Mus musculus: one gene and its partners. The protein of the gene in region 1 interacts with the protein of each later gene in a pairwise test. Links are inferred from orthologs where the notes say so. Each region holds a gene or a part of one and is shown in the gene's direction. Other genes may lie near its edges. The genes, in order: Ube2k, Birc7, Rnf114, Rnf125, Mkrn3, Dtx3 and Dtx3l.

Evidence for each region.
Region 2: the proteins of Ube2k (region 1) and Birc7 interact in binary tests that used the Homo sapiens proteins (3 or more experiments, as listed by UniProt). The link is inferred for Mus musculus from reciprocal best matches to the Homo sapiens genes UBE2K and BIRC7.
Region 3: the proteins of Ube2k (region 1) and Rnf114 interact in binary tests that used the Homo sapiens proteins (3 or more experiments, as listed by UniProt). The link is inferred for Mus musculus from reciprocal best matches to the Homo sapiens genes UBE2K and RNF114.
Region 4: the proteins of Ube2k (region 1) and Rnf125 interact in a two-hybrid assay, tested with the Homo sapiens proteins (2 studies listed by BioGRID and IntAct). The link is inferred for Mus musculus from reciprocal best matches to the Homo sapiens genes UBE2K and RNF125.
Region 5: the proteins of Ube2k (region 1) and Mkrn3 interact in binary tests that used the Homo sapiens proteins (3 or more experiments, as listed by UniProt). The link is inferred for Mus musculus from reciprocal best matches to the Homo sapiens genes UBE2K and MKRN3.
Region 6: the proteins of Ube2k (region 1) and Dtx3 interact in binary tests that used the Homo sapiens proteins (3 or more experiments, as listed by UniProt). The link is inferred for Mus musculus from reciprocal best matches to the Homo sapiens genes UBE2K and DTX3.
Region 7: the proteins of Ube2k (region 1) and Dtx3l interact in binary tests that used the Homo sapiens proteins (3 or more experiments, as listed by UniProt). The link is inferred for Mus musculus from reciprocal best matches to the Homo sapiens genes UBE2K and DTX3L.

What each region holds. Positions count from the first base shown.
Region 1 is NC_000071.6:65,592,745-65,596,244, forward strand, and holds part of Ube2k (ubiquitin-conjugating enzyme E2 K), read left to right. Parts: intron 1-1,675; coding exon 1,676-1,804; intron 1,805-2,130; coding exon 2,131-2,205; 3' UTR 2,206-3,500. UniProt on the Homo sapiens protein: Accepts ubiquitin from the E1 complex and catalyzes its covalent attachment to other proteins. In vitro, in the presence or in the absence of BRCA1-BARD1 E3 ubiquitin-protein ligase complex, catalyzes the synthesis of 'Lys-48'-linked polyubiquitin chains.
Region 2 is NC_000068.7:180,927,626-180,931,822, forward strand, and holds the start of Birc7 (baculoviral IAP repeat-containing protein 7 precursor), read left to right. Parts: upstream 1-1,397; 5' UTR 1,398-1,521; coding exon 1,522-1,888; intron 1,889-3,179; coding exon 3,180-3,279; intron 3,280-3,633; coding exon 3,634-3,712; intron 3,713-3,793; coding exon 3,794-3,839; intron 3,840-4,197.
Region 3 is NC_000068.7:167,502,054-167,506,242, forward strand, and holds the start of Rnf114 (E3 ubiquitin-protein ligase RNF114), read left to right. Parts: upstream 1-1,389; 5' UTR 1,390-1,405; coding exon 1,406-1,548; intron 1,549-4,189. UniProt on the Homo sapiens protein: E3 ubiquitin-protein ligase that promotes the ubiquitination of various substrates. In turn, participates in the regulation of many biological processes including cell cycle, apoptosis, osteoclastogenesis as well as innate or adaptive immunity.
Region 4 is NC_000084.6:20,971,364-20,974,863, forward strand, and holds part of Rnf125 (E3 ubiquitin-protein ligase RNF125), read left to right. Parts: intron 1-2,935; coding exon 2,936-3,092; intron 3,093-3,500. UniProt on the Homo sapiens protein: E3 ubiquitin-protein ligase that mediates ubiquitination and subsequent proteasomal degradation of target proteins, such as RIGI, MAVS/IPS1, IFIH1/MDA5, JAK1 and p53/TP53.
Region 5 is NC_000073.6:62,417,354-62,421,574, reverse strand, and holds Mkrn3 (probable E3 ubiquitin-protein ligase makorin-3), read left to right. Parts: upstream 1-1,421; 5' UTR 1,422-1,533; coding exon 1,534-3,168; 3' UTR 3,169-3,982; downstream 3,983-4,221. UniProt on the Homo sapiens protein: E3 ubiquitin ligase catalyzing the covalent attachment of ubiquitin moieties onto substrate proteins.
Region 6 is NC_000076.6:127,192,910-127,197,036, reverse strand, and holds the start of Dtx3 (probable E3 ubiquitin-protein ligase DTX3), read left to right. Parts: upstream 1-1,327; 5' UTR 1,328-1,343; intron 1,344-1,469; exon of another isoform or gene 1,470-2,165; intron 2,166-2,229; exon of another isoform or gene 2,230-2,355; intron 2,356-2,402; 5' UTR 2,403-2,627; intron 2,628-3,233; 5' UTR 3,234-3,278; coding exon of another isoform or gene 3,279-3,306; coding exon 3,307-3,307; intron 3,308-3,679; coding exon 3,680-4,127. UniProt on the Homo sapiens protein: Regulator of Notch signaling, a signaling pathway involved in cell-cell communications that regulates a broad spectrum of cell-fate determinations.
Region 7 is NC_000082.6:35,936,228-35,940,226, reverse strand, and holds the start of Dtx3l (E3 ubiquitin-protein ligase DTX3L), read left to right. Parts: upstream 1-1,199; 5' UTR 1,200-1,349; coding exon 1,350-1,533; exon of another isoform or gene 1,534-1,757; intron 1,758-3,599; coding exon 3,600-3,850; intron 3,851-3,999.

The sequences.
Region 1 (3,500 bases):
AAAACATGAATGTACATCAAATAAAAATAATTTTTTAAAATGTTCTTTCTTTTTCATAATATTTATTTATTTATTTAAAGTATATGAGTACACTGTAGTTGACTTCAGACACTGGAGAAGAGGGCGTCAGATCACATTGCAGATGGTTGTGAGCCACCATGTGGTTGCTGAGAATTGAACTCAGCACCTCTAGAAAAGCAGTCAGTGCTCCTAACCACTGAGCCATCTCTACAGCCCACCATTGCTTAGAACTACAGCTTTTAATAGTTTGCACATATGTGCTATTAATATTTGGTAGCAGAAGTCTTTCTTGAAGTTTATCTTTGATTTTCCCACAAATTGAGATAAATTGAGACATAAAATAAAGGGTGACTTTTGAAAAAAAATTATTTATTTTATGTACATTGCTTCGATGTATGTCTCTGTGAGGGTGTCAGATCCTGGAGGTACAGGATCATGTGGATGCTGGCAATTGAACCCTGGTCCTGGAGTAGCAGCTGTCCTCTGGTTGCCAAGCCATCTCTTGGCTTCCATAGCTGATTTTTAACACCTAAAATAATGTTTGTGTTGTTCGTTCACAAAGTATTGCTTGAAATATATTAGGTAATCATAGTAATATGGAGTAGCCTTTTAGTTTGGTACTCCATAGGTAGATGTTAGTGGAGCTTTACATTTGAGCCAAGCCTGAACAATGAACAAGATAAAGATAGCTGGTTCTAGGCTAGCCAGGGCTACATATTGAGAACTTTTTTGAGAGAAAGCGATGTCGAAGGGAGAGGAACAATGAATTACCCAGTCCCTGCTCTGGGGCTAGAGAGCTGGGTGGCTCAGGTGAGGGGTAGTTCTTTGTTATCATTCTGAGAACAGAGATTAGGTCCTAGCACCCTCACTGGGCAGCTTCCCACTGTCCTCTGCTTGCCTTTCCTGAGCACTTCCACATGTGTGCATATACACAAGCATACATAAGTTTAAAAGTAGCACTTTGATAAATATTGAAATGAATTGACATCATTACTTTATACTCTGTCTTACAAGTATTTTTACAATGAATTTACCTCACCCTTTTCCGGTTTCATATGGCAAATCTTTATCTAGTAGGGCTCTTTTGTAGGTTTTTAAGTTGTCTTCAAAAGTAATGTAAGTTAGATTGTTTTGAGTGTTGGGTTTACTTTGATGACTATACAGTGCTGCATAGCTCTAAGGGCATCTGCTGCCTCAGCTTGAGGTCTGCCTAGTAGCACAATTGATTGTATATATCAGTCAGTGTTAAATTTATCAGCTAATGTTCATGTAACATTACATGCTACTGATTTTGTTGTGTAATTTTCTGTACAGTTATTAGAACATTTTTATAATGTTTATTTAATATTAGATGTTTGTTTAAAGAGTATTAACTCTGTTTTTTATTTTCACAAAGCTTCATTTCTTGAATGACATTTCTGCAATGGAAAAAAAATCATCTTTTATGTTTTGGCACATGGAGTGCTGGTAATTGAATTTCTGAACTTGAGCTTGTTACTAAGCTAATACGTACTACTAGTGATCTCTGCAGGCCAGCCCAAATGAGTTACATTCTAAATATAAATGTCTTTTCTTTGGAACAAGCAAGTCATAGTTGAGCAGCTATGGTAAATCTCACTGTACTGTCTTGTTATCTGCTTTTCCCTCCATATAGTACAAACAGAATCCTGAAATGTTCAAGCAGACAGCTCGACTTTGGGCACACGTGTACGCTGGAGCACCAGTTTCTAGTCCAGAATACACCAAAAAAATAGAAAACCTCTGTGCTATGGGTTTTGATAGGGTAAGTACCGAAAAGACCACCCTGCTAAGCATTAGGACACTCTCGAGTTACGAGATTTATCCCCATTTAAAGGTGGTGACCTAATCAGAGCTTTCTGTCCCTGTCACCATCCAGAGGAATTGATTTCACTCCCCATTTTAAACCCGGGCTCCCAGTCCTTGGGAGAAGGGGACTAGCCATTTTGAAAATGTAGTTTTGGTTAATCCTGTATAGACGCTGCAATCAGTGGTGACTGTGCAGTCATTGGTAGAGGGAAGAACGTGTGACTCTGGCGAGGAGGATTTGGTTTCCGTGGGATGTGATTGCTCTTGTCCTCCTCTTTACAGAACGCAGTAATAGTGGCCTTGTCTTCAAAATCATGGGATGTAGAGACTGCAACAGAACTGCTTCTGAGTAACTGAGGCACAGGAGCTGCGCCAGCATCGCTCTCGCCTCTTGAGGAGCATCAACACCTGTTATTTTTAGGATTCTGCATAAAGTTCTTTTAAACTGGCATTCTTGCCTAATGATGTTACCTAGGCACCATTGGAGACTGCAAAAAAAAAAATTCCCTGCTCTGTAAATAAAGCTAATTAAACGTCTGTGTAAATTTAAAAAGGGGAAATACTTTTAATTTTTTTTCTTAATAGTGTAAAAATTCTTTGAGCTAAGCTAAAACCATGGGAAAACATGCTACTTTAGTGTTTAGCAGTGTAACAGACTCGAGAGTTTGCTTCAGGGTTCTGTTGACTAACTAGGATAACACTCGAGTGTCGGCCCTTCACATTGTGGTGTAGAATCACAGCTCCCTTAAGTCTGAACACAGATCCTCTGTGCCTGTGAATTTACTTGCATGCTTGTACTTGACTTCTTAGAACGGGTAGCCGAAAAGACCACCCTTTTAAGCATTAGGACATTCTTGAATTATGAGATTTATCCTGATTTAAAGGTGGTGACCTAATCAGAGCTTTTTAGTCCCTGTCACCATCCAGAGCGGAGATTCTCATGGTCAATTTATTTTGTGTCTTGTGGGAAACGTGCTGAGGAACAGTGTCCCTTGTTCCACTTTTAGCTCATAGGTTTGGAATGTTTTGTCCGAGTTCTTCACTTTGTAAGTAGTAATGTAAAAAGGGGCTGCCAATTTTATTTCTCTCACAAAAGGAATAAATACTTGATGTTGCAGTATTTCTAGATTTAATAAAAGGACACTGCTTAGTTTTTCAGTGAATTTGACATTAATTTTTAAAATGATAAAGTCTTTGGAAACTTGAAGGGTGCAGTACCTGTTCCCTAGTGCTCAGCCTGACAGTTTCCTTTGTCAGACACTTGACTTACTCCTCCTGCTCCCCATGGTGACCCATGAAAGCTGTGCTGTCTCACTGTATATACCAGATGCACATAGGAACAGGGGTGTATTCTAAATCTAGCTTTCTTTATGATGTTTCTGATAATGTGAGAATTGAAACTTTACCTTCTCTTGTACATAAACTTCCTGTCCTTAGCAACTGTCGCATCTCATTCTATCTTCCAAAGCTTGACAATTATAAGTTTTACAAACTCAAATACTTCCTTTAACCATCCTAATTAATGTTCAAGTGAACTTAGGCAGTTGTTACATAGGAGATACAATTAAAAATTTTGAGGACCAATGCATAGATTACAGAAATGTAATGGAATCAGACTAAATTAAAGTAAGGTTGTATGTATATTGAAAGTC
Region 2 (4,197 bases), on another chromosome or scaffold:
AGGGGCTCTCTCTAGCACAGGCTAGCACAGAACTTACTATCTAGCTCAGGTTGGTCTTGAACTCACAAAAATCTTCCTGCTTTATCCCCATGAGTGCTAGGACTGCATGCATGAACAGCCATGCCTATCTTACAATGTCTCACAAGCTCCAACCCCTCACCATGCCTCCCAAGACTCAACCTCTAACTGAGGGACTATTGACAGTTGGCAGCTTCTGGAAAAGGGAGGGTCAGTTTTCTTTAAGGTTGTGGCCCTTGGTAGGTTGCCCATGCTCCTGTGGACATCCCCACACCCATAAGTATATGGACACCACAAACCAGACTCAGTGGGTTATACATTAAAAAAAAAATAAATAAAAGGACATGAAGTTGGAGTGGATTGCTTTTTTTTTTTTTTTTTTTTTTTTGAGACAGGATGTCCTGGGTGTTCTGGAACTAGTTCTGGGGAGGCTGGACTCAAACTCAGAGGTCTGAAATTTTCAAAGAATTAATAAAAATATTATATATATATATATATATAAGCTCCCAATATTAAAAGCTTCACAATCAGTGAAGAGCGACTCAAGGGTAAAGGTTTGAGCAGAAGCCTGGGAATTACAGTGCGAGCTGCAGCAGAGCTGGCCCCTTGATCTTCTCTGCCTCTTCCAGGGGTCCCAAGGACTCTTGTTTTACCAACCTATAGCTGTGGCTTCTCTGGGGTGATGATCCTCCTCTCTGTTCCCTGTTTTTTTGTGTGTGTGTCAGTCGAATCCCTCACCTGGGGCTGGTTAGTGAAGACCAGGTTCTGGGGCAGAGCTCATTTAGGGAGGCAACATTCCATGTGACAGTGCAAATGGAAATGTCTGGCCTGGAACAAATACCATCCAAACCTTGAGCTCCTCCAGACAAAGGCCAGGGCACACCCTACCCTTGATTTGCCTCTAGACTGTCCAGACAGATAAAGAGCAACCTGAGACCAGATGGGTGGACTGACCCTGACTCAGGGCTGAGCCAAGCAGGGACCTCTCCTCAGTGCTGGGGACAAGATGAGCGGGTGATGAGGTCATCCCTGAACATCAGTCAGCACAGGCTTGGTAAGGAAGGATTGGTGGGGTTGCATAGTGTCCTGGACAGCCTAGCTTCCTACCCTGCAGGCCCCTGTCTGGGTCTATCTCCACCCAGAACTAGACCCTAAGTGTCTGGAATCTCTCTCCTCTATTTTGTCCATGTTCATGACCTGTTTCCTGAGGCTTAGGGGATGCCATTGGAGGGGTCCCAAGCTTGGTCCCTCCCCCTATTGAGAGATGCTTTTTGCCTGGTGGCGTACTGCCTTTGTTATGTGCCTGCCAGCAGGCCCCATGACACGCTGCAAAGAGCATGTGGCTGCCCTGGCCTCTCTCAGAAAGTGGCTCATTCCTGGACACCGCCACTGCCTCTGAGCATCTAGCAGCTTGCAGTTAGAAGCAGGAACACCACAGCCTCTGGGAAGGACTAGAGGCAGGAGCTGGAACGGTACAACACCAGGCACATTCCTGGGCTGGTGATGTTCTCACCTGCAGACTTATTCAGAGCTGCTGTCTTTTCCATGGGGCCTGAGAGTAGGGCCAGGGACTCGGTCCGTGGCCCAGAACTAAGCCACAGGGAAGATGGCAGTGGCCGCACACAGGAACAGGATAAACCCCACTGTCCGTGTAACCATGTCCTGGGCCAGGACTGCCTAGATGGGCAGATCTTAGGCCAGCTTCGGCCTCTGTCAGAAGAGGAAGAATCCTCTGGGGCTGCCTTCCTTGGGGAGCCTGCCTTCCCTGAGATGGACTCAGAGGATCTCCGGCTAGCCTCCTTCTACGACTGGCCATCTACTGCAGGGATTCAGCCTGAGCCATTGGCTGCTGCTGGGTTCTTCCACACAGGTAAATGTTGGGGTCTTTTTTACTGTGGTCTGAATGCTACTTAGCACTCTTCCAGGCAAACGGTTTTGCCCATTCTTGCCCTGAGGGAGGAACTAATAAAAGGTACTCCTGTCATCCTTGCCTGGTCAGGGCTAGACCCACTCAAAGCCACTATGAAATTCTGGGCTTATGCTGGCCTTGTTCTGAGGGCCCTTGAGGGGTCTGCTGGCTTGGTGGTTTCACCTGGCTTACACGGCTCTGAGGATTTCTTCAGGGATGCCCAGTCATCAATGCCTTTCAGGTTTGGTAGATAGAGCTGATTAATCCCTTTCATCCCTTAGCCCAAAGCGACAAAACCGGAATCTATTCTACTGGGGCAGGGGCCAGCTTAAGCATCCAGTGCCCATCTTGTAGGTAATCTCTCAGGCTTCCTAAGTACCTGGTTAGTGCAGGGACCAACTCCAGACAAATCCTTTGAATACCTGTTCTAGTTACAAATGTAGACTACTCCTTGAGCTTGGTCTGCTCTCATTCCCAGTAGGGCTCAGGTTCTGGCTCTGACTCTTCCTGGCTGAGGGAAAAGGAATCAGTGAGCCCAGCCGAGCATAGCCAGAGAAATTGTCACCAGTGGGCCTAGCAGGGGAGGAAACAGTCATTCTCCTAGCAACGGCCAGGCAAGAGTCCATACTGATTTAGGACAATCTGACACTGGTTATGAAGGGTCAATGTCTGGAACAGTTAGAGCCCCCTTGAAAAGGAGTCTCTTTGAGGCCAACAGATGTCATGGGTATTTTGTGGACCGTGGGTACCTGCTGTGGGATATGCCTGTAAGCAATCCTGTTTGGAACTTCTGCTCAAGGTCATGAAGGACACATATTCCTATGGCTGGGGGGGGAAGGGCACAGAGCAGAGATGATTGAGGCCTGAGCCACTAAAACCAAGTCTGTCTATAAACTGGTATGGAAGGGGTCACCTCCTTATCCTGTAACTAGAAGTCCTTCTTGGAGGCCCTGACACTCCCAGGCTACAGATGCTCCAAGCCTTTGGCTCAACCCTACCCACATGCTCTGAGAACAACACAAATGCTAGCTCGACCTTTCTGGAATATTCTGAAGCCCTCCTGACACATGCCCCAGGGCCATTGTCTTTATTTGCCTTTGAGGCAAGAGAGGTGTCCATGTGCCTTGCTCCCTTCTTGTTAACCTGCTGGCAGATTCTAGTCCTGCCTGTCTAAGCTTTGATGGTCATGGAGGGACACCCTGGGGTTGCCAACTAGGTGGGGCTACCAGCTATGTGTCTCTGCCATACCTAGGCCAGCAGGACAAGGTGAGATGTTTCTTCTGCTATGGGGGTCTACAGAGCTGGGAGCGTGGGGATGACCCCTGGACAGAGCATGCCCGATGGTTTCCCAGGTAAGGGCCCTGTGGGCTACTGCAGTTCTGACTAATGAGAAGGGTCCCAAAGAACTCTGTATAGCCTTCCCACCTCCCATGTTTCTGAGACATCAGGATCTCTCTAGGGCTGCTAGGGTAGGCACTCCCCTGTTGCTGCTATCCTTTCCAGGTGCACACCTAGGTATTCGGAGCCCAACTCCAGACTAGCCTTACTAGCAGGTGCCCATGGGGATACAGCCCTGACTACCTGTCACAGGAAGTAATGGGTTCCATGGGCACAGAAGGCATGCCAAATCCCAAAGGCTTGCAGGGCTCGAATGTGACAGTGGGGCTCTAAGAGTCCAGTCCTGTCTTCTGAGCTCTCTTCTCCAGGTGTCAGTTCCTGCTACGGTCAAAAGGAAGGGACTTTGTGGAAAGAATCCAGACCTACACCCCTTTGCTGGGATCCTGGGTAAGTCCATCTGTCCTCAGGACCCAGGTGGGCTGGCAGTCTCTGCTTTGCTTACTTAAGGCACCAATGGCTCTCTAACAGGATCAGCGAGAAGAACCAGAAGATGCAGTCTCTGCCACTCCCTCAGGTGAGAGAGCCTAATAGCCTTTGCTGTTTAGTTGGTGTTTGCAGCCTGCACGTAGGTCAGACTGTTGAGTGTCTCCACCTGCCAGTCAGCAGAGAGGGTGGGGTCTGTGCCCACATGTTGTGTTCAAGGTAGTGAATCCCCTTGCTCCTAATGAGAAGGCTGCTAAAGACACCAGCCAAACCTGGGCATGTAGTTGTGTGTGTGCTAGGCTATGGTTCTGCTGGGTACGAGCCACAACAGCAGCTGCTGCTTCTCCTTCTCTCTTCTCTTCTCCTTCTCCTTTCTCCTTTCTCCTTTCTCCTTTCTCCTTTCTCCTTTCTCCTTTCTCCTCCTCCTCCTTCTTCTCCTTATGGTTTTT
Region 3 (4,189 bases), on another chromosome or scaffold:
ATTTACTTAATAAAGGAGTACCTTGCCGGGTGGAGGTGGCACATGCCTTTAATCCCAGCACTCGGGAGGCAGAGGCAGGTGGATTTCTGAGTTCAAGGCCAACCTGGTCTATAGTGTGAGTTCCAGGACAGCCAGGAACCCAGAGAAACCCTGTCTCGAATCCCCCAACACACACACACACACACACACAAAGTGCCTGTTTTCAGCCACACCAGAAGAGGGCATCGAATCCCATTGCAGACGGTTGTGAGCCACCATGTAGTTGCTGGGAATTGAACTCAGGACCTCTGTGAGAGCAGCCAGTGCTCCTGACTGCCGAGCCATCACTCCAGCCCCTGAAGTGCACCTTTTTAGAAGCACCTATTTTGTTTGTTGCTTTGGTTTTTGAGAAAGGGTCTCTTTTGCAATCCAGGCTGACCTCAAAGCTCAAAACATTTTGACTTCTACAGGTGAGTATACCACCCCGTATCCCAGGCTAGCCTCAAACTCACTATATTGCCCGAGATAGTTCTGAACTTCTGATCCTCCTGCCTTTATTTCTCAAGTGCTGGGGATTCTGAGTGTGGACTACCAAATATGACATATACACTGCTAGGGATGGAACCCAGGAGCCCGTGTGCCATGCTAGAGGAGACCTCTTCCTTGGTGGCCACACCCCAGCCCTGGACGCAGTGCTTTCCAGATAATCAACTCCTTGTTGATCTTGGACTCAATCACTGCCAGTACCCAACACCTGCTGGAACTCTTGGTCTTCAAGGTACTGGCTGATCGCGCACAGTCCAGTGACTTCCTGTTATACTATACCTCCTTCAGTCCAAGCCTCTGTCCTATTTTATTTTTCCAGGCCACGTACAAGCCATAGGAAAAGGGCAATAAATATGTCTAGAAAACTGGAAAGGTTCACGGAGGTGGTATCGACCTAACAAGCCACGGGAGTTTGTGAGATACACTTGTACCCCGTTAGCTGTGCAGGCAGGAAGTCCTGCCTCCTCCTTTCCGGTTAGGAAAGACGCTGAGAAATCAGATCAAATCATCTGGCCACACCTGGTGGTGCAGACTATACAGCCAATTACTTGGTAGGCTGAGGCAGGAGGATGGAAAGTTCAAAGCTCAACTGGGCAAGTTGGTGAGCTAGCTAAGGTCAACTGTAATAACAATACACATTCACGGTCTGAGTTCCTGTGGGTGAGAGGTGTGGGCTCAGTGTGGCTGCGTCCTCTAGGCTCTCCCCGGGACGCCATCTACACACCTGGTGGGCGGCAGCTTTCAAAAGCTCCAGGGGGCGAGGGGGCGTTGTGGACTCCGCCCATCTCAGCCCCTAGCGCGTGCGCAAACGACGGCGGCCCCGCCCCCAGCCCCCCTCGGCGGCTCTTTCTCTCTCAGCGCGACGCTCCTCAGCGGCAAGATGGCGGCGGCGCAGCCGGAGTCCCGAGATGGAGCCGCGCAGTCGGCGAAGCCGGCGTCCGAGACGGACCCCCTCAGCCGCTTTACGTGTCCCGTGTGCCTGGAAGTATTCGAGAAGCCGGTGCAGGTGCCCTGCGGACACGTGTGAGTGGCGGGCGCCTGCCGGGTAGGGGTCGCGGTGCGCAGGCGGCGGGCGGCCGGCGGCGTCTGACGAGGGAGCACAGCGGGCCCCCTCGAGCCTCGGCGTCGCGACTCACCGGGCCGCCGCCGGCGCCTCCGAAGTGCGCGGGAGGCCGCCGGGCTAAGTATGGACAGTGGGCCCCGGGCTAGGCTGGAACAAGAGGGAAGTGCCGGGACGCTCGGCCGTACCCGCGGACCGGGTGTGGGGTGCTCGCTCGCGGAGGCCGCCTCCCTCGGCGTGAGTGAAGCCCGGTGTCGCGGGCCAGGCTGCCGCAGCCGCTTCAGGAGTTGAGCGAGGGCGGCCTGGGCTTTCCCTGGCTCCTGTGACCGCTTAGCGGGATTTGAATCCCATTCTTGCACATTTCAAACACACCGTAGCCGAAGAGCCTGAGGATGCTCGACCACGTCCCTCCGCGGCCCCGCCCACTGCCGCTCACCCAGGAATCGGGCTTCCTGACCCCCCCCAACTCCAGCACCCTTTTTTGGGCGCACAGGCATTCCCGCCGCTGTCCTGTGAGTGCCAGCCTTTTTCCGGGTGAATCAAAGTGCAAGTGTCAAGGGTCGCTCATTCGGGCCAGCGTCGCCTGCCAGACCGTCCCCAGGAGCGAGGCGGGGCCTTCCCAGCACTGTGGGAGGGATGCCTGCAGGGACACTGGGCTCCTGCCAGCTTGGGTTCAGGTACAGGTAGCCGTTACCGATCGCCCGCCGCCACTACTTCAGGCCTCCCGTCCTGATGACCTCCCTCACTTCTCTCTCGACTCTGCTAGCTTTCTCATTACACGGAGCAACATGTAGGGACCCAAGAAGAGAGTACCATGTCCTCTCTGTCCGATGATAAAAGCCGGTGTTCGGCACCGTGAGCCGAACCCAGACTCCCTCCCAGTCAGTTAACTGGAGTGTCTGCATGCCCTCTGTTTGCTGTTTTGGGATAGAGTTAAGAAGGCAATTTGGAACCGGGCGTGGTGTTGCAGGCCTTTAATCCCAGCACTCGGTCGGGAGGCAGAGGCAGGAGGATTTCTGAGTTCGAGGCCAGCCTGATCTACAAAGTGAGTTCCAGGACAGCCAGGGCTATACAGAGAAAGCCTGTCTCGAAAAACAAACAAACAAAAACCAAAAGAAGGCAATTTGGCCCTCGGGTTTACAGCTCAGGAGGTTGTTTGGTAAGTAGTGGCCAGTGAGATAGCTCAGAAGCTGAAGGCTCTTGTCACCAAACCTGATGACTTCAGTTCGCTCCTGAGGAGCCACATGGTAAAAGAATTGACTCCCACAAACTGTCCCCAGATTTCCAGCTGTCCTCAACGGCACACACATTCATATTTTTTTAAAGGAAATACTAATGACTGTTCAAACTATGGTGTATTCGGTAGGAGAGCACGTGAGGGCTGTTAACATTTGTGAAGAAACATGACTTGATTGAAAAGCACCAGGCTTTGAGGCTTCCTTGACCTTTTCCTACATCATAGGGCAAGAAGCAGTACCAGCATAGCAAACATAACCAGCCTCCGTACTCAGCAGATTGTTTGAAGTCAGACACACCTTGGTGAGGGTAGCTGACTTCTCTGAGCCTCCTCCAAGTGCTTTGGGCTCTGCCAACTTGATTTTTAATGTTTGCCTTTGAAGCTGGAGAGTCCTACAGCTGTGGTTGGAGCATTTGATTTTATGAAATTCAGGTCAAGCCCTGTGGCTACACCCTTTCAGGTCTGGAGGAGCGCAGATAACTTGATGCTAAAGAGCACTGACAGAAAGGCTGAACTAGTTGACTCCCATTTCTAGGAAGTAGAAACTGAAAGTCAGCTCCAGACACAGGAAGCTAGATGCAACCTCCTTGTAAGGGTATAACTCAGGCACGCAGGCTGTGAGCATCTGATAGACTGTTAAATCAACTGCTTTAATCTGTATGTTGGCTTGGATTCCTCAGTTGTCTTGAGTTGCTCTTGGGATGATGGGCTACTATAAAGGGCCTGCCCACCCTGCCTTGCCCTTTCTCTGTGTGATCTGCCACATCACTGCCCCAAAGGCCTTCCTTTCTATACTTGGCACACTCCTTCCTCTGTGGCCTTCCATTCAGTGTCATCTCAGAGGAACTCCCTATGCTCCACCTGCCAGGCTGTTTGTTATCCTTCATCACCGTATGAAACCACTGTTTTCTTCAAATACAGCATCACTCTGGGTGGTATACCCTTAATCCCAACACTTAGGAGGCAGAGGAAGGCAGATCTCTAAGTTAAGACCAGCCTGGTCTTTAAGAGTGAGTTCTAGGAGAGCCAGAACCAACAAACAGGACAAAAAAAAAAAAAAAGAGTTATAAGGATAGGGCATTTCCTAGTAAATAACTAGTCACCTCCCAGCCAGGACTAGAATTTTTGCCTAATAGAAACGATCAAGATTTCTTAAAAGATAGTGGGGGGGGGGTCAGTTCTGATACACACACACACACACAGAGGCACACACATATCTCCTGGTCTTTTCCAGCAGATTTTGTTAATGTAACCATAAGTCAAAGTAGTTTGGTAGTTTAGTGTCCTGTGCCTTAGTAGCCTTCTTGTGCTGTGAGCCAGCAGGTGCCCCCTCTGCCTCTAGATCATGGTGTTTGAGTTTCTTGAAT
Region 4 (3,500 bases), on another chromosome or scaffold:
CTGATGAATTGCTGCAATTGTTCACAGCCGTAACAACACCACAACCCAGATCTAGGACAGTTAGTTCCTATACACTGACAAATCGCCTCCTGTCCTTTGTGGTCAATTTCTGTCCCTATGGCTAGCCCTGTCAGCCCCATCTGCTTCTGGAATCAACTTTGGGAACATGCAGCCAGTAGCCCTTTGACTTTCAGAAGGGGCATGGATTTTATTTTGCCCATCTTGTCTCTGACACCATCAGGAATCATTTGCTGGTGTAGGGCCTTTTGAGCCAGGGTCTCATATAGCAAACTCACTAACATAGCTAAGCTGACCCAGAACTCCTTCTCCTTCAATCTCTGGACTTCTGAGATTACTGGTATGTACCACCTTGTCTAGTTTATCCAGTGGTGGGGCTGAGGCCCAGGGCTGAATGCAGTGCAGGACAACTGAAATAGACTCCTAACCTAATGTTAGATTTTAGAGACAAGATCTCATATGCCTCTAGCTAGTCTTGAACTTGTTCAGGCTCATTTTGGGCTTCTGATCCTCCTTAAACTTCCTAAGTGTTAGGGTTACAATTTTGTGCTCCCACACCCAGCTTAAGGCACCAAAGTTTATTGAATAGATGTATTATAAACTTAAAGGTACTTAGCCTTGGTCCTGGTTTATGTTTGAGAGAGATCTCAAGGGCTGAGAGTGTATATTCTTGAAGAGTACATATTGCAAGTGGTTCAAACATTCAACTAAAAATAATGTCTTTTTTCGTGGTACTCTGGATCAGGAGCCAGGCTGGCCCTGAGCTTGTGTGATTTTCTTGGGTTAAGGCTGATCCTCTGCCTGCTCGTCTCTCTCAGCACAGCTCCGACTATGCCCTAAGATTCCTGGCTGCCTTTCTGAATGTCAGCCAAGAGCAAGCAGTTCCTAGAACGTTGTATTTTTTTGGTTTTGTTTCCATTCGGAGTGTTCTTCTCTAGGTTCCCTTATATGCTTACCATTGTTTTTTCTGTTTGACTCTTGGAAAGGGGTTGTATTGTAGCCCAGGCTATCCTAAAACTTTCATATGTAGCCCAGGTGGACTGAAATCCCAAGTACTGGGATTAGACTGGTTCATTACTATGCTGATTTAATTTTTCCCCTCTAATTTGACAAAGAATCTACTCTTTTTTTTTTAAATCTCATTCTTCTACTTCTTATTCCCCATTGGTGTTTGTTTGTTTTTTAAGGCTAAACTCTACTCACTATAACTACTTACCTGAGGATTACCTTGATTTCTGTTCTCCCACCTCCCAAGGGCTAAGATTATATAGTCCTGCCACCATGCCCAGCTTAAAATCCCAGGTCTTGCCTGGTTAGCCGGGCATGGTGGCACATGCCTTTAATCCCAGCACTTGGGAGGCAGAAGCAGGCAGATTTCTGAGTTCGAGGCCAGCCTGGTCTACAGAGTGAGTTCCAGGACAGCCAGGGATACGCAGAGAAACCCTGTCTCGAAAAACAAACAAACAAAACCAGGTTTTACTAGACTGCATACTTCTGCAGTCTCATGTCCAGCTTCTTATAGAGTGAGACGTCATCTACCCCTACATAAGACATGTAAGCAGAGAATTCAGGTTGGAGTCATTGATGTTGTATTTGGAATGTTAATTTTTTTCTTTTAGTTGAACGTTTGAGCCATTTGTAAAAAAGTACTCTTAAACGAATATACTTTCAAGGTTTTACATGTCTTAGGGTTTCTATTGCTGTAAAGAGACACCATGACCAAGGCAATTCTTATAAAGGCTAGCATTTAATTAGGGCTGGCTTATTGGTTCTGAAGTTCAGTCCATTGTCTTTATGGCGAGAAGCATGGCAGGGTCCAGGCAGACTTGGCACTGGAGAAGCTGAGAGTTCTACACCTTGTTCCAAAGGCAAACATGAGAAGACTGACCCTTCTTCATTAATTGGAGCTTCAAAGCCCACCCCACAGTGACGCACTTCCTCCAACAAGGCCACACCTCCTAATGGTGCTACTTCCTGTGGGCCATGCATACTCAAACCAGAACTTGATGGCTCATACTTTTGATTCTAGCATTTGGGAGGCAAATTCAGGTAGATTCTGTGAGATTGAAGCCATCCTCATCTATATAGTGTGTTTTAGGCAAACCAAGAGTACACAATGAAACCCTTTCTAAAAAGCAAACAAACAAAATAAGAAAATACTTTAAGCCAGGTTTAGTGATGTGTTCTTGTAATCCCAGGTAGATTACATTACAGGCGGGAGAGATGTTAGTGGGAAAACTGAGATTCTCTTTTCAGATTTATTTCCTTCCTTCCTTCTTCCTTTCTTTCCCTTTTTTTTTTTCTTGGTTTTTTGAAACAGGGTTTCTCTTTGTAGCCCTGGCTGTCCTGGACCTCACTTTGTAGACCAGGCTGCCCTCGAACTTACAGATATCCACCGGCCTCTCCCTCCCGTGTGCTCAGATTAAAGGCCACCACTGCCCAGCTAGATAAATATACTTATTTTTATTGTATGAGATCTGTTTGCCATCTGCTTGCCCAGTCCCTGTGGAAGTCCTAAGAAGGCATCAGATTCCTGGGAAATGGAGTTAGAGGTGGCTATGAGCTACCATGTAGGTGCTGGGAATTGAACCTGTGTCCTGTGTAAGAACAATCAGTGCTCTTGACCACTGAGCCATCTCTCTAGACACCCTCCCATGCATGCTTAGTCTCATTCATAAAAGATTTTAGCCTGGTGTGGTGGCGCACACCTTTAATCCCAGCACTCGGGAGGCAGAGGTAGGCAGATTTCTGAGTTCGAGGCCAGCCTGGTTTACTAATTGAGTTCCAGGACAGCCAGGGCTATACAGAGAAACCCTGTCTCGAAAAACAAACAAACAAACAAACAAACAAGAACAGTATGAACTCAAGTGCTGAGCCCTATCTCCTGATGCGTGCATTCTCTGTTTCTTTTGAGTAGGTTCTGCCGATCTTGCATTGCGACCAGTATAAAGAACAATAATAAATGGACATGTCCATACTGCCGGGCATACCTTCCTTCAGAGGGAGTGCCCGCAACTGACATAGCCAAGAGGATGAAGTCAGAATACCAGAACTGTGCTGAGTGTGGAACTCTGGTGAGTAACAACAGCCATATTCATGGTTACAAGAAAAGGTTTCCAGGGAAACCTTTCTTTCCACCCTCTCCATCTCTCTAGCTCCTCCAGTGCTTTGGGGACAGTTTCTCATTCTGTAGCCCAGGGTGGACATAAACTTGCTGTCTCCTGCCTCTGCTTTGGAAGAGTCGGGATTGCATACACCTACCACCACATCAACGCCTTTAGTATTTGTGTGTATGCAGCACTAGAGATTGAACCCGCACACTGAATGAGTGTTGTACCAGCAAACCAGAGTCCCAGCCCTCATTTTTCAGAGTCATTAAGTTCCCTGTGCTAGCTATGAACGTAGTCTGTAGCCCCACCAACCTTTTAAATATCCTTTTTGAAACTTGGAAGTCTTACTTCATTTATCTATTTTCCTACCAC
Region 5 (4,221 bases), on another chromosome or scaffold:
ATCTGCTAGTTCTTACTTAGGTCTTTTATAAATTAGTGGCACTAAAAACATCTCATTGTTTTGAGGTTTCTTATTACTTAATGTCAGTTCTTTTGAAGTATGTGATGCTGGAGATCTGAGCCTTTTATTATTTTCCTTCATAAGTTACACAAGAAAAATTTTGCCTATTCTATTGTTCTTATTTCATGTTTACTTTGACTTCATCCCCCCTTATCTATATTGTTTGATTATGTTCCTCTTATCTTGTTTTATCGTTGTTGGATTTATTTAGTTGAGACTTATATTTTGAGTTGGATGATTATATCATATGCTTTCAGAGTTTTTTAACCTTAGGTTGTGAGACTCCTTCCAATAAAATTATTTTTCTGAGCATAATTTCATTTTTTTAAATAGTAAATAAAATATTTGAAGCATTGCTAATTCAAGTTAGTGGGTGAGGAAAGGAAGAAAGCATGATTATTACTAAAAATAAAAACCCACGTAAAACTATACTATAAAATTTAGTATGCCACTGTAGTAAGTACATGTAGCAGTGTAGAACTACATATAAAATTATTAGCCCAATAGTATATATCTGCAAAATGAAAAGAAAAAGAAAAAGAACTGGCTCAGTGCAGAAATGGAAATGAGACACTTTGGGGTGCAAAGAGGAGCTGGTATTATGAAAAGCTCTGTAGAGCAGAATGGGATGAAAAGGAAGGCAGGGAACAAAGGGTCTCCGAATCCAACCAACAGAGAAAAGTTAAAGCCTGGGTCATTCTCAGACCTTGCCTTATTAAGTCTTCATCAGGGTTGGGCAAAGTCCAGGCTTCTACATTGTTGGGGGTCCGGGAGAATGTAACAAAGGCAGGAAAGTGAAAGGCTCTGAGTAGCCTCGGGGCAGGGGATTCCCTCCTAATTAAAGTGCACGCAAATTAACCCTTCAAGGGAAAAAAAGACCCAAAGAATCCTGTCAGATCTACAAGCATTGAAGGAGAAACGCTTTGGCAGGGACACTGTCCGATCTTAAAAATTAGTAGCCTATAAACAAACGACAGAAGAAACTGAAAAATAATTTTTAATGTGAGTGAAATGTTTTATGTTCAAGCAGCAGACGGTAAAGGCAATGTGTGTAGCGTTTTCTTAACACACACACACAAATAAACTGCAATGTATACAACTGAAACCTGGAGAGTTTAAAACATCAACCTTGAGGGGAAACACTGTGGAAACGGGGATTGGGGGGTTCAGAGTCGCACTTAGAAAGCCGGCAGAAGCCCATCCCAGTGTCTCAAGCAGAAACAGGCACGCGAAAAACATGGCGGAAGCAACTTCCGGTGAAGCCCTAGGAATGGTGTTACAACCGGAAGTGTCCGCCTGCCTGTAAACAGGTAGGAACTAAAGTTTCCAGGGAACGGGGAGCAGGTGGGAAGACAAAAATCGATGCACTTCGCTCCGAGAAGAAGCTGGTCGAGCCATCTCCAGCTCCGCAATTCAAGCACAAAAAAGATATAATATTCGGGTTTTTGGACAGTGTTAGAGGCACGCTGTAAGATGGAAGAGTCTACAGCTCCCATTGAGGCCCACGCGGCCGCCGGCGCCGAGGCAGGTGCTGAAGGGGGGGAGGGTGTGTCTGTTCCCCCCCCTCCTCAGTTTGAGGCTGCTGGAGCTTCTGCGGGAGTCAGCTCGGCCCCTCTGCAGCAGGCATCGGGTCTGGCACCGCTCCTGGTGACTCCAGGCCCAGCGATCCGGCGCGCGGCGAGTTTGAGGCCAGCGCCAGCCGAAGGGGGCGGGGCCCGGTCTGGTCCGGAGCGCAACAGTGGCAGCTGGACGAAGCAAATCCTCTGCAGGTATTATCTGCATGGGCAGTGCAAGGAGGGCGATAACTGTCGCTACTCTCACGACCTTTCTGGGCGGCGGAGATCTAGGGGGGGGCAAGATGCTCAGCCTCGGGCCTCTGCAGACAGAGGACCCAAGATGGCCACTCGCTGGGAGCCCCCGACTCAGGAAGTGGCGGAAGCCCCCCCTGCTGCATCCTCAAGCTCCTTGCCTCTGATTGGCTCGGCTGCTGAAAGGGGCTTCACTGAAGCTGAGATTGACAATGCAGGCATTCGCTCAGCTGCTGAAAGGGGCTTCTCTGAAGCCGAGATTGACAATGCAAGCCTTGCAGCAGGTGCTGCAGCGGGAGCGGGTGCAGAAGGCTGGGAGGGGGCAATTGAATTTGTTCCTGGACAGCCTTACCGAGGTCGCATGGTCCCCCCGCATGGTCCCGAGGCTCCTCTGCAGAGCCCGGCAATTGAGAGAGAGCATATGGCTATGGGCATGGGGATGCCGATGCCAGTGCCAATGCCAATGCCAGTGCCAATGCCAGTGCCAATGCCGCTGCCGCTTTGCCGCTATGCTGCCCGGGGACAATGCCTCCGTGGGGACAGGTGTGCATACCCCCATGGAGAAATATGCGACATGTGCGGGCAGCAGGCCTTGCACCCTTGGGATGCAGCTCAGCAGGAAGCTCATAGAAGGGCCTGCGTTGAAGCACACGAGAGAGATATGGAACTCTCTTTTGCTGTGCAGCGCAGCATGGACAAAGTGTGTGGCATCTGCATGGAGGTGGTCTATGAGAAAGCTGACCCCAGCGACCGCCGCTTTGGCATTCTTTTCAGCTGCAACCACACCTACTGTCTTAGGTGTATCCGCAGGTGGAGAAGTGCCACACAGTTTGAGAACAGGATCAGTAAGTCCTGCCCACAGTGCAGGGTCTCCTCTGGCTTTGTCATTCCTAGTGAGTTTTGGGTGGAGGAGGAAGAGGAGAAGGAGAAACTTGTTCAGCAGTATAAGGAGGGGATGAGCCAGAAAGCGTGCAGGTATTTTGCTGGAGGCCTAGGTCACTGCCCATTTGGAGAATTCTGTTTTTACAAGCATGAATACCCCGAGGGCTGGAGAGATCAGCCTCCAAGACCAGATGGTGGTGGATCATCAAGCGCATACTGGCATCAAGTTTTGGAGCCTGTGCAGTTGCGAGAGGGAAACGTGCTGTTTAAAAGCCGTAAAAAAGAGCATTCTGTGCTTCGCCTGGCCAATCAGTTGCTTAAGAAGTTGCTTTGCCTGAGAGGCAGTTCTTCCTTCTCTGATGACCGTTGGCTCTTGCTTCAGTACCAGCTGGAAGAATATTTCAGTTTGAATCTGTAGTATCACGCTGTGGCATGTGGTCTGGTCTGCTAAAGCTCTGTTGTCTGCTGTTGCTTATTCCCCTTTATTGACTGAAAAACCCTATCGCTTTCAAAGGCTACTGAGGCAATCTTTATGCAGTATTGCTGTTTTCTTCTCTATTTCCTATTTCTTCTTGCTAGGATTGTGATGTTTCTCTGTGTTACAAAATAACAAGAAATCTTATAAGTATTGTTTGGTGGAATTAATATTTCTGTCAACTGATGACTTGTGATGTCTTTTTTCCAACAGGATTCAATCACTTCTAGTCTAGTGTTTACAGTTTCTCATTGTGAAGTCCCTTAAGAGTAAATGTGACAAGGTGACAAAAGTCTTTAACTGAATTATGAGCTTTTTGCTATATAGCCTTAAAAAAAATGGACCCTTACAGGACCTTGCAGCTGCTGTCTGTGTTTGTTTACATGTTTGTTTCTTCCCTTCTCTTTCAAGTGCACTTGTTAACTTGTGGTTACTTTGTGGTTCTGTTTTACTTGACCAAAATGAGGTGCATATGTTTACATGTTTTTATCCTGTTTGGCTTGATGTGAAATTATTTATATTTGGAAATATATATTTAAGAATGATATATATGCGTATATGTATACAAAGATGTATTTGAAAAAAACTGGAAATAAATATACACCATAATATATATGTTTGAAGTATTGAAATAAATGCAGAACTGAAAGCCCAGTGTTAAAGTCCAAGTGTGTGGGCTGTATGTGAATTGTGTGGATAATCTGCCCCTGCACTGATGTCAGTGATTAGCATCTAATAAAAATGACTGCTAAGTGTGGATCTGACTCTTTTTTTAATGGATTTACAAAACATGACTTCGAAAATTCCTACAATACCATTAACAGCTTCCTGGTGTTATAATAATGAAACAGTGCCTCACATGAAGTTACCATCTCATTTTTCTTGACAGAGACAATTCCTGAACTTAAACATAGAGTTGTTTGTTTTTAATATCTTAAAAATCTGGTTATTGTATAATTTATAAGCAAAGAACTTTTGAAAAAAGGTTTTCAAAAT
Region 6 (4,127 bases), on another chromosome or scaffold:
GAGTAACCCATCCTATGTTTAAGAGTTACAGAGTCCAACTGAAAAATATTGGTCTTCAAGGTGTTGGGCTCCTGAGTATGTGTGTGTGTGTGTGGGGGGGGGGTGTTCTAAGATGACTGTGGACTTGGAGTTGTGGGGTGGACATGGGAGCGGGAAAATAGTCGCCAACCTTGTGGCGGCCAGAGTGGGAGTGGGATGGTGTGTCTGTCTTCATTATGCTCTTGCTCCTCCATCTGTTAACTTTAGTGGGCCTCTTGGGGTACCAGCTCTGTGGGAAGGAATTCTCTGTTCACGCAGACTTCCTGGGAAAGCTATCTGCTTAGAGGCCAGGAAGAGTCCAGCAGGGTCCTGGGAAAGTGAAGGAGTGACCAGTCCTCCAGTTCAGGGGGGAGGGGATGGAGAGGGGTGGATGACGTGGTTGGTGCTAGTCTGGGAGAGTCAGTACCTCTTCTCTTGGCTGAGGAGGTCTCTTGGCTGGTGGAAAAACCTGGCTTGATGTAGCCCCAGGGAAGTGAGCTGGAGGAGGCGGAGACAGCTCTGACGGGAAGCAGAGCGGAGCAGAGCTTTTTTTCTTTGGGAATTTTTAACTCTATTTGAGCCATGTACTTGACACTAACACCACCCTGAGCCATTTTTAAAGGATCTATCCACCTCACGTTCTGCACAGACCAGTGTCCTTACTTGTGGAAAACTAGTCACCAGCCCACTTCTGGTAACAGGCTGCGAGGGTTGGGGGTGGGGGGGGTCACCGGAGGTAACAGTCTGGAAGGAGGCAAGAGTTGAGGGAGGGGATTGAAGTAGTTTAGTCACAGGGTTTATTTTGTAGTACCAATGTTTTCCTTTTTTTTTTTTAAACTTCCCATCCAACATATTCCAGCGTAAGACTTCAAAAAAATTTCCCTCCCCTTCAATCTATATACCCACCGACACTGCTCCCACCCCTACCAGTTCCTAAGAGTGCAACGCAGTTGGCTGGGAAAGAAGTGGGGAGAGGTCTCCTCCGGGAGGGGGAAGCCAAGAGAGTGGCGTTTCTAAGGGATTTAACCTCCTACCCTCGGCTACATGACGCCACCCCTCCCTCCAAAGACTGGAACTGCGCCTCCATTTTTGTTTTGGGGCAGAGGCAGGGGCTCCCGGGTAGGAGGGGGTCAAAGGAAACGGTGATTATCACCCACCAAGGGGAGGGGTGCTCTCCCTTCCTTTCTCTCGGTCTGCACCCCGGCATCCCCTTCCACCTTCTCAGGGTCTCCCCCCCACCCCCCCGCCCCTTGTTGCTAAGGCCCGGACCGTCATCCCAGCAACAGCCTCAGTCATGTGACCGGCAATGGCGGCGCTGACGAGAGGTAGGTGAGCCCGGCGCCCCCACACCCACCGCGTGCCCCCCCAGGCCGGGTCCGCACCCTCACAAGCCCCCCGCTTCCCTCCGCCCCCTCCTCCGCCATTGGACCCCCACGCGCGCGCCGCGGGAGAAGAGGGCGCCCTCGGGGCCCGGGCCCATCATCTTTCCCGCACCTTCAGCCCTGGCCTCCATTTGGGGGTTCTGAGGGCCGCAGTCGGGTGGACACACACCCTCACCAAGCGGCGGGACTCCGGGGCTTCCTCGAGTAGGGATGCGGGAGTTGGTTTCGGGTTGGATGGATCCGGGGGCAGTCTCGGGGAGAAGGGTGGGGGGTGCCTCAGTGGACACCTCCCCAGGGGACCCTTGCCCTTTCTCGCCGTCCCTGCCAGCGGCCGCTGTCTGGAGGAAGAGGCTGGTCTGGTGTCCGGCCTGGTTTGCCCCAGAGGAATGCTAGACCCAGACTAAACTGTGGCCCCGCCTCCCTGTGCCGTGCCAGCAGGACTTGGAGCTAGGACACCTAGATCCTGGGTTCTCTCTGGTGGGGAGGGGGCATTTCACCGTGCACAGACCATGCGGGTTGAGATGCTTAGGTTTTCATCTCAAGGACCCTATGATGGAGGCACAAACGGACAGAGGCTTCTTTTTGGATCACAAGGAATTGAGGTCACATGAATGGCCCCTCTTCCTAATTGAGCTGCACTTTGTGTTGTGGGAAAGGCCCTGGAGCTGGGCTGTGACAGGGCTCAGGGGAAAACCTCGGGTCCCTCTAGCCAAGCTCCTGCTTGATTTGCAGCTGACAGCAGCTCTGCGGGCACTGGGTTTAAAGGTGACAATGAGAACTTTGTTATTGCGGGACTGCTAACACTTTGCTGGCATCCCTAACAGACTTCCGGCTCTCAAGGAAAGGTCTCTGTCAACAACAGGGACTTGAACTATTCGAGAACGTAAAGCGAGGAGTTTAGGAGATATTTCTGTCAGTGTAATCTGAGGGAGGTGGCGTGTACGACCTTCATCCTGTGAGGCCCTTTTTTTTTTTCTCCTTCCTGTCTTTATCTGCATCTAGGATCTCCCTCTGCACTGGGGGGAAAAGAGGAATTAGCCTGATGAAGTTCCTTGAGCAACTTGGAGAGGATTCTGCAGGGGAGGAGAGGAACTAGAAGAGCGTTTTCTGTCTGGGCTGGCTGAGGAAATGCTATCATAACTCTTTACCTTCCTCGTCTCCAGCTCTGGCCAGCTGAAGGTGGAGGTGGAGGGACTTCTGCTACCTTCGTCTCTGTGGTCTTTTCAGGTACCCGTGCCCCAGGAGAACCTCAGCTTTCGGGTTCCTCCTGTATTCCAAGAAATCCCCATTTCCAGTACCCCTACCCCAGGTTCCTGGCCATTTCAAGGGCTCCTGAGTTGGGGCTTTGGGGTTGGGGAATAGTTTTCCTTCCTCCTCCTCCTCCTCCTCCTCCTCCTCCTCCTGTTTTTTTTCTTTTCTTTTCTTTTCTTTTTTTTTTTTTTTTTTGAGACAGGGTTTCTCTGTGTAGCCCTGGCTGTCCTGGAACTCACTTGGTAGACCAGGCTGGCCTCAAACTCAGAAATCCGCCTGCCTCTGCCTCCCAATGCTGGGATTAAAGGCAAGCGCCACCACTGCCCAGCTTTTTTTTTTTTTAAAGATTTATTTATCTATCTATCTATCTATCTATCTATTTATTTATTTATTTATTATAAGTACACTTTTGTTGTCTTCAGACACACCAGAAGAGGGCATCAGATCCCATTACAGATGGTTGTGAGCCACCATGTAGTTGCTGGGATTTGAACTCAGGACCTCTAGAAGTGTAGTCAGTGCTCTTAACCACCGAGCTATCTCTCCAGCCCCCTTACTTTCTTTTCTTTCCCATTCCACCAGGCCACAGGATCTCCAGGTATCAGGGGGAAAGGAGAGTGAGCCTGCATGCCAATTCTAAGCTCCTCCGGATCAAAGTGAGCAAAGCAAACGGAGGTGGGATGGGGTGGGGTAGGGGTGGGGAGCCTCCTTCCCTTGGAGGAACCTTTTTTTTTTTCCATCTTGGGGAGAAGGGGCAGGTTGTTGTGCTCAGGGGAGAAATGAAAGAAGCAAGCAGGGCTGGTGCTTGGCTTAGATAACGATGAAATATGGAAACCTGTGCCCAGAGGGTGCTGGGCTATGGGACAGAAGTGGAGATAGAAAACCAACCGGTTTGTGGGCAGTGTTGGGGGTTGGCTTTGAGGGAAACAGAGGTAACACAGGGGGTTCAGAAGGAGCCTGAAGTAAGAGGCACATTTATCTGTCAAATGGGGACTCCCCACTCTGAGTCCCTTTCACCCTGGGGGCAGTGTCGTTCGTCCTGTCCAGAATGGCAGCCTGTGGAGGCTCCTGCAAGAACAAAGTGACTGTCTCCAAGCCTGTGTGGGACTTCCTGAGCAAGGAGACCCCAGCCCGGCTGGCCCGGCTTCGGGAGGAGCATCGGGTGTCCATCCTCATAGATGGCGAGACTTCTGACATCTACGTGCTCCAGCTGTCCCCACAGGGTCCTCCCCCAGCCCCTCCCAATGGGCTCTACCTGGCCAGGAAGGCTCTCAAGGGGCTACTGAAAGAGGCAGAGAAAGAGCTAAAGAAAGCCCAGAGGCAGGGGGAGCTCATGGGCTGCCTGGCTTTGGGGGGTGGAGGGGAACACCCCGAGCTGCACCGCCCAGGCCCTCCTCCCCTCCGAGCAGCCCCACTCCTGCCCCCAGGGGCAAGAGGGCTACCCCCTCCTCCTCCTCCCCTGCCCCCTCCACTCCC
Region 7 (3,999 bases), on another chromosome or scaffold:
AAGGATGTCTGGATAAAAATCTGAAGCTCTGGGAAATCGCACTTTCTCATGATTTTAACCTAGTAGCCTAAAAACTAAAATTATGAAATGTTAGACTCATGACTAACACTTACAATAGTCTCTGGGATGATCTGTAATGTCTTTGCAGTAGAAAAACACTGTACAACACGAGAGCACAGCTGGCCATGCCCATCCAGGAGTCACTCGAATACTAACCCCAAACTGGCCGGACAGGATCCGGGGAGCCTGCAGAGGGCAGTATTGCTTTCACACAAGAAAGACCTCTAAGGTTCCTTGGAGGCTGCAGCTGAGAGGTTGCTTTGGGGTGCACTTGTCTGTCTTGAGGCAAGCAGGCCAAAAGCAAAACTTCCTTTTTCCTTGTCCTTTTATATAGGCTGCTACCAGGACGCGTGACCCAGATTTAGGGCGGGTCTTCCAGTCTCAAAAGACCCAATCAAGAAAATCGCTCACAAGCACTACCCAGCTAGCTGGGGTTTTAGCTGATTCCAGACGCAGTCAAAATGACAACCAAGATTAACCATCACCTATGAGCTAAACTATGGTGTTAACCTTTAGAATTAACACACATAATCCCCACTTTATTTCTGTTGACGCTATAGATCTTACAGACCCTTCCTCTTCCTCTCCCTGGCCTGGAACCCAGCCCTCTGGACTTTAGGCTACTGCTGTCCCAGCCTAGAATACTTTCCTCCCCTCCCCCAACCCCTTAAGATACCTCTTGAAACCTGCTCTTTGGCTTTTGCTTTGTTCACAGGTACTGACTGCTTCTGTGCTCAGTTCCTCGTTACCTCCCTCTCTAGGGACTCAGGGAAGCAAGCCGATCTGTGCTATTCGCTAACTTAAGGCCCTCGAGCAGAAAATCCCTAAGGTGCCCAGCTAACAGGAAAAGTACAGGTCACCAAGCAGGTAAACTCTCTCCACTTGAAATCAGAACCGCATCTCAGTAAATACTAGTTACAACAATCATTTCAAAAAGTACAAACAGGTGAAACTCTTTACCCCTCTATTCCGCTCCACCCTTGAGAGGCCTGAACCTGGGATCCGGGTTCCCGCCAAACTTCCGATCCTGCAAGAATAGAAGGGCGACCTGCCACCGTAGGGAAACTTCCTCTGAGCGCCCACCGCCGAGCGTGCGAACTACTCACCGGGTGATGGCTCTGAGAGATGGCAGAGCAAGACAGGCGGCGGCTCTGCGGAGAACAAGGAGGGACCTTCTGGGGAATCGAAACTGAAACTTTGCCTCTCGGGTCTTTAGGGCAGGGCTCGCCTTTGCTCTTCCCTGTCTGTGCAGCGCCCCTGAGCCCCAAACGAGCCAGACGCGGATAGCCATGGCTTCCAGTCCCGACCCGCCGTCCCCGCTACTCGTACGGCTGCGGGAGTCCATCCCCAAGGCGCACAGGAAGCTCGAGATATACTTCCAGAGCCGGGCCTCGGGAGGTGGGGAGTGCTCTGTCCAGCCCGTGGGCCCCAGCGCCCCGGACACCTACGAGGTGAAGTTCCTAAAAAAAGCAGGTGAGCCGGGGCAGGGGAAACAGGGCAAGGCTCGGGTGCAAGGGTAGAACCAGCAGGTTTCCAAACCGATCCCTGCATGCTTCCGACGAGAGCCCACGCGAGTGTGGCTCTCTGTCTGTGGGAGAGTGCGGTCCACAGACTCCCTCCATCCCACAGTGGCGGAGAGAGCCTCGTATGAGTCCAGCCGCTGATGAGGTCGCGGTTCGACTCCATCTGAGAATTTCCCAGCAGACCCAGTTGAGAGAAGAAACAAAGTGTGGGGGTTGGGATTGAGGAGGAAATCCAGAACCTTGTGCACGCTAGGCAAGTGCTCCACCACCGATCTCGACTCCAAGCCATTTTAATGTTGTAAATAAAGATTCCGTTGACTTATTTTTAAGGACTACAAAAGTAATATATGACTTTAAAGAGGAAAGTCAAAGAAAAATTATCTGAAGATAGTTTGGTGGGGTTTGGTTTGGTTTTGGTTTTGGTTTTTGGTGTGTGTGTGTGTGTGTGTGTGTGTGTGTGTGTGTGTGTGTGTGTGTTTGGTTGATTTTAGAGACAGGGTTATTCCTTGTATCCTTGTCTGTCCTGGAACTAGCTCCATAGGCTGACCTCAAACTCGCAGAGATCCTCCTTCCTCTACTGGGATTAAAGGCAGGTGGTGCCACACTAATGTCCTCAATGGGGGCATTTTCATGCATTCTTTTCTGAGAGTCAGCAAATGAATATACATTCTAAACTTTTTGATCTTGTTTCTTTTGGGGGGCCGGGGGTTTCACCATTTAACTATACAATAACCATTATTCAATGTCATTGAAATGAGAGATTCAAAACCATTACAAAACATAGGTTTCCCCACCACCACCCCTTTGAGACAGGATCTTGCCATGTGCCATTGGTTGGCCTTGAACTCATAATACCCCTACCCCTACCACTACCATTTAAGTGCTAGATTGTGAGTGTGTACCAGCATGCCCAGACTAGAAATGTGATTTCTAATAACCAAATTATATTCCTATGCTAAAACTTAAGCTCCCTTCTTTAGAGTTCTGATTAGCTTCTCCTATCACCAGCCTGCTATTCCAGAATGCCAGAAATAACTGTTCAGGTCCTCTGTATGCATTTGACCAGGAGCCTACAACAGATACCACCAAGGGCCAACTTGGTGAACCAATGCATTACTTATTGCATTGGTATTGGTTATTGGATTTACTTACAGGAATATGGGAAACGACTCAAAGGCAACTGCATCACCAAAGCCCACCTAGCATGGGTGACAGCTCACAAAGCTGGGAACCTGGAGCTCACTGCACACCTACAGGCAGCTCAATAGGTTAGGGAGTGTTCTTTCCAGGTGGCTCAGTTGGTCTAAACTTCCTCCTAAGTGGAGCTTAGAGTTCACTTCCTGCAGGCAGCTTCTCTGGTGGTTTAAGTTTTCTTCACAGCTTGTTTTGTCTAAGAGTCTCCTATGCAGACCTTTAATGAGTCCTCACAGCAGCTCTGTTCTGGGAGTCTCAGGAGGACTCTTCCCAACAGTCTCTATTGTTTATTCATTCAGGGAGGGGCCTATGAGTCTGGTCAGTTTCTGGGATTTCCTGAAGCTATTTTGAGTTGTTTACCTTCTTGCTTAAGGAACTTCTTTGCAGGGTGGAATGTTTCAGTCTTGAGAAAATTTACACAACAGTCCCATACCCTATGGTTTATTCAAATAAAGTCTATGGAAGGCGAACCAATGCATTTATAGTAGTGGCACATGCCTTTAATTGTAGCACTCTGGAGGCAGGGGCAGGCAGATCTCTGTGAGTTCAAGGCCACCCTGGTCTACACCAGGAGTTTCAGGACAGCCAGGACTACCTAAGGTCTCAAAAACAAAAAATAAAACAAAACAAAAAAATGAACAACTAAAAAGCATATGTGAGAACATGGGTAGCTTATGTGAAAGTCCTAAGCTTATTAGGGACATCTCTGGAGGTAGCATGCTCAGACGTTTCTAGAATCAACCTACAGGGATACTGAGGATCAGCTATGTAAATTCTCTCTTATTTCTGTGTGAATGTGTATGTTTAATGTCTCCCCTGAAGATAAGGAGAAAGTGTTGAAAAAGAGCGAACACGAGATGTTGGTCCATAACAAACCTGTGACCATTGTCCTGGAAACTACTAAAAAGCCAGTAGAGGACCTGAGACCCAGACTCCCATCCTTGACACAGCCAGTGGAGACACCAAGCTCCAGACCTCCGTCCTTGACGGGGTCTCTGGATGAAGCACTTTGTGATGACATACATCCCCAGGACGGGCTCGTTTCTAACTCTGTTGACTCAGTTGTCCAAAAGGTGAGTGTTGACAGAGGAGCTGATGCTGCCCTGGCATCTGCTCCTCCCTTCCCCTCGGTGTTTTCGGGCAGCCTTGTGCACCCCGGACTGTACAGGGAGGAATGAAGCTTAGTTGGTACAGGTGGATTAGCAAGATCTCAGCCAGCCTG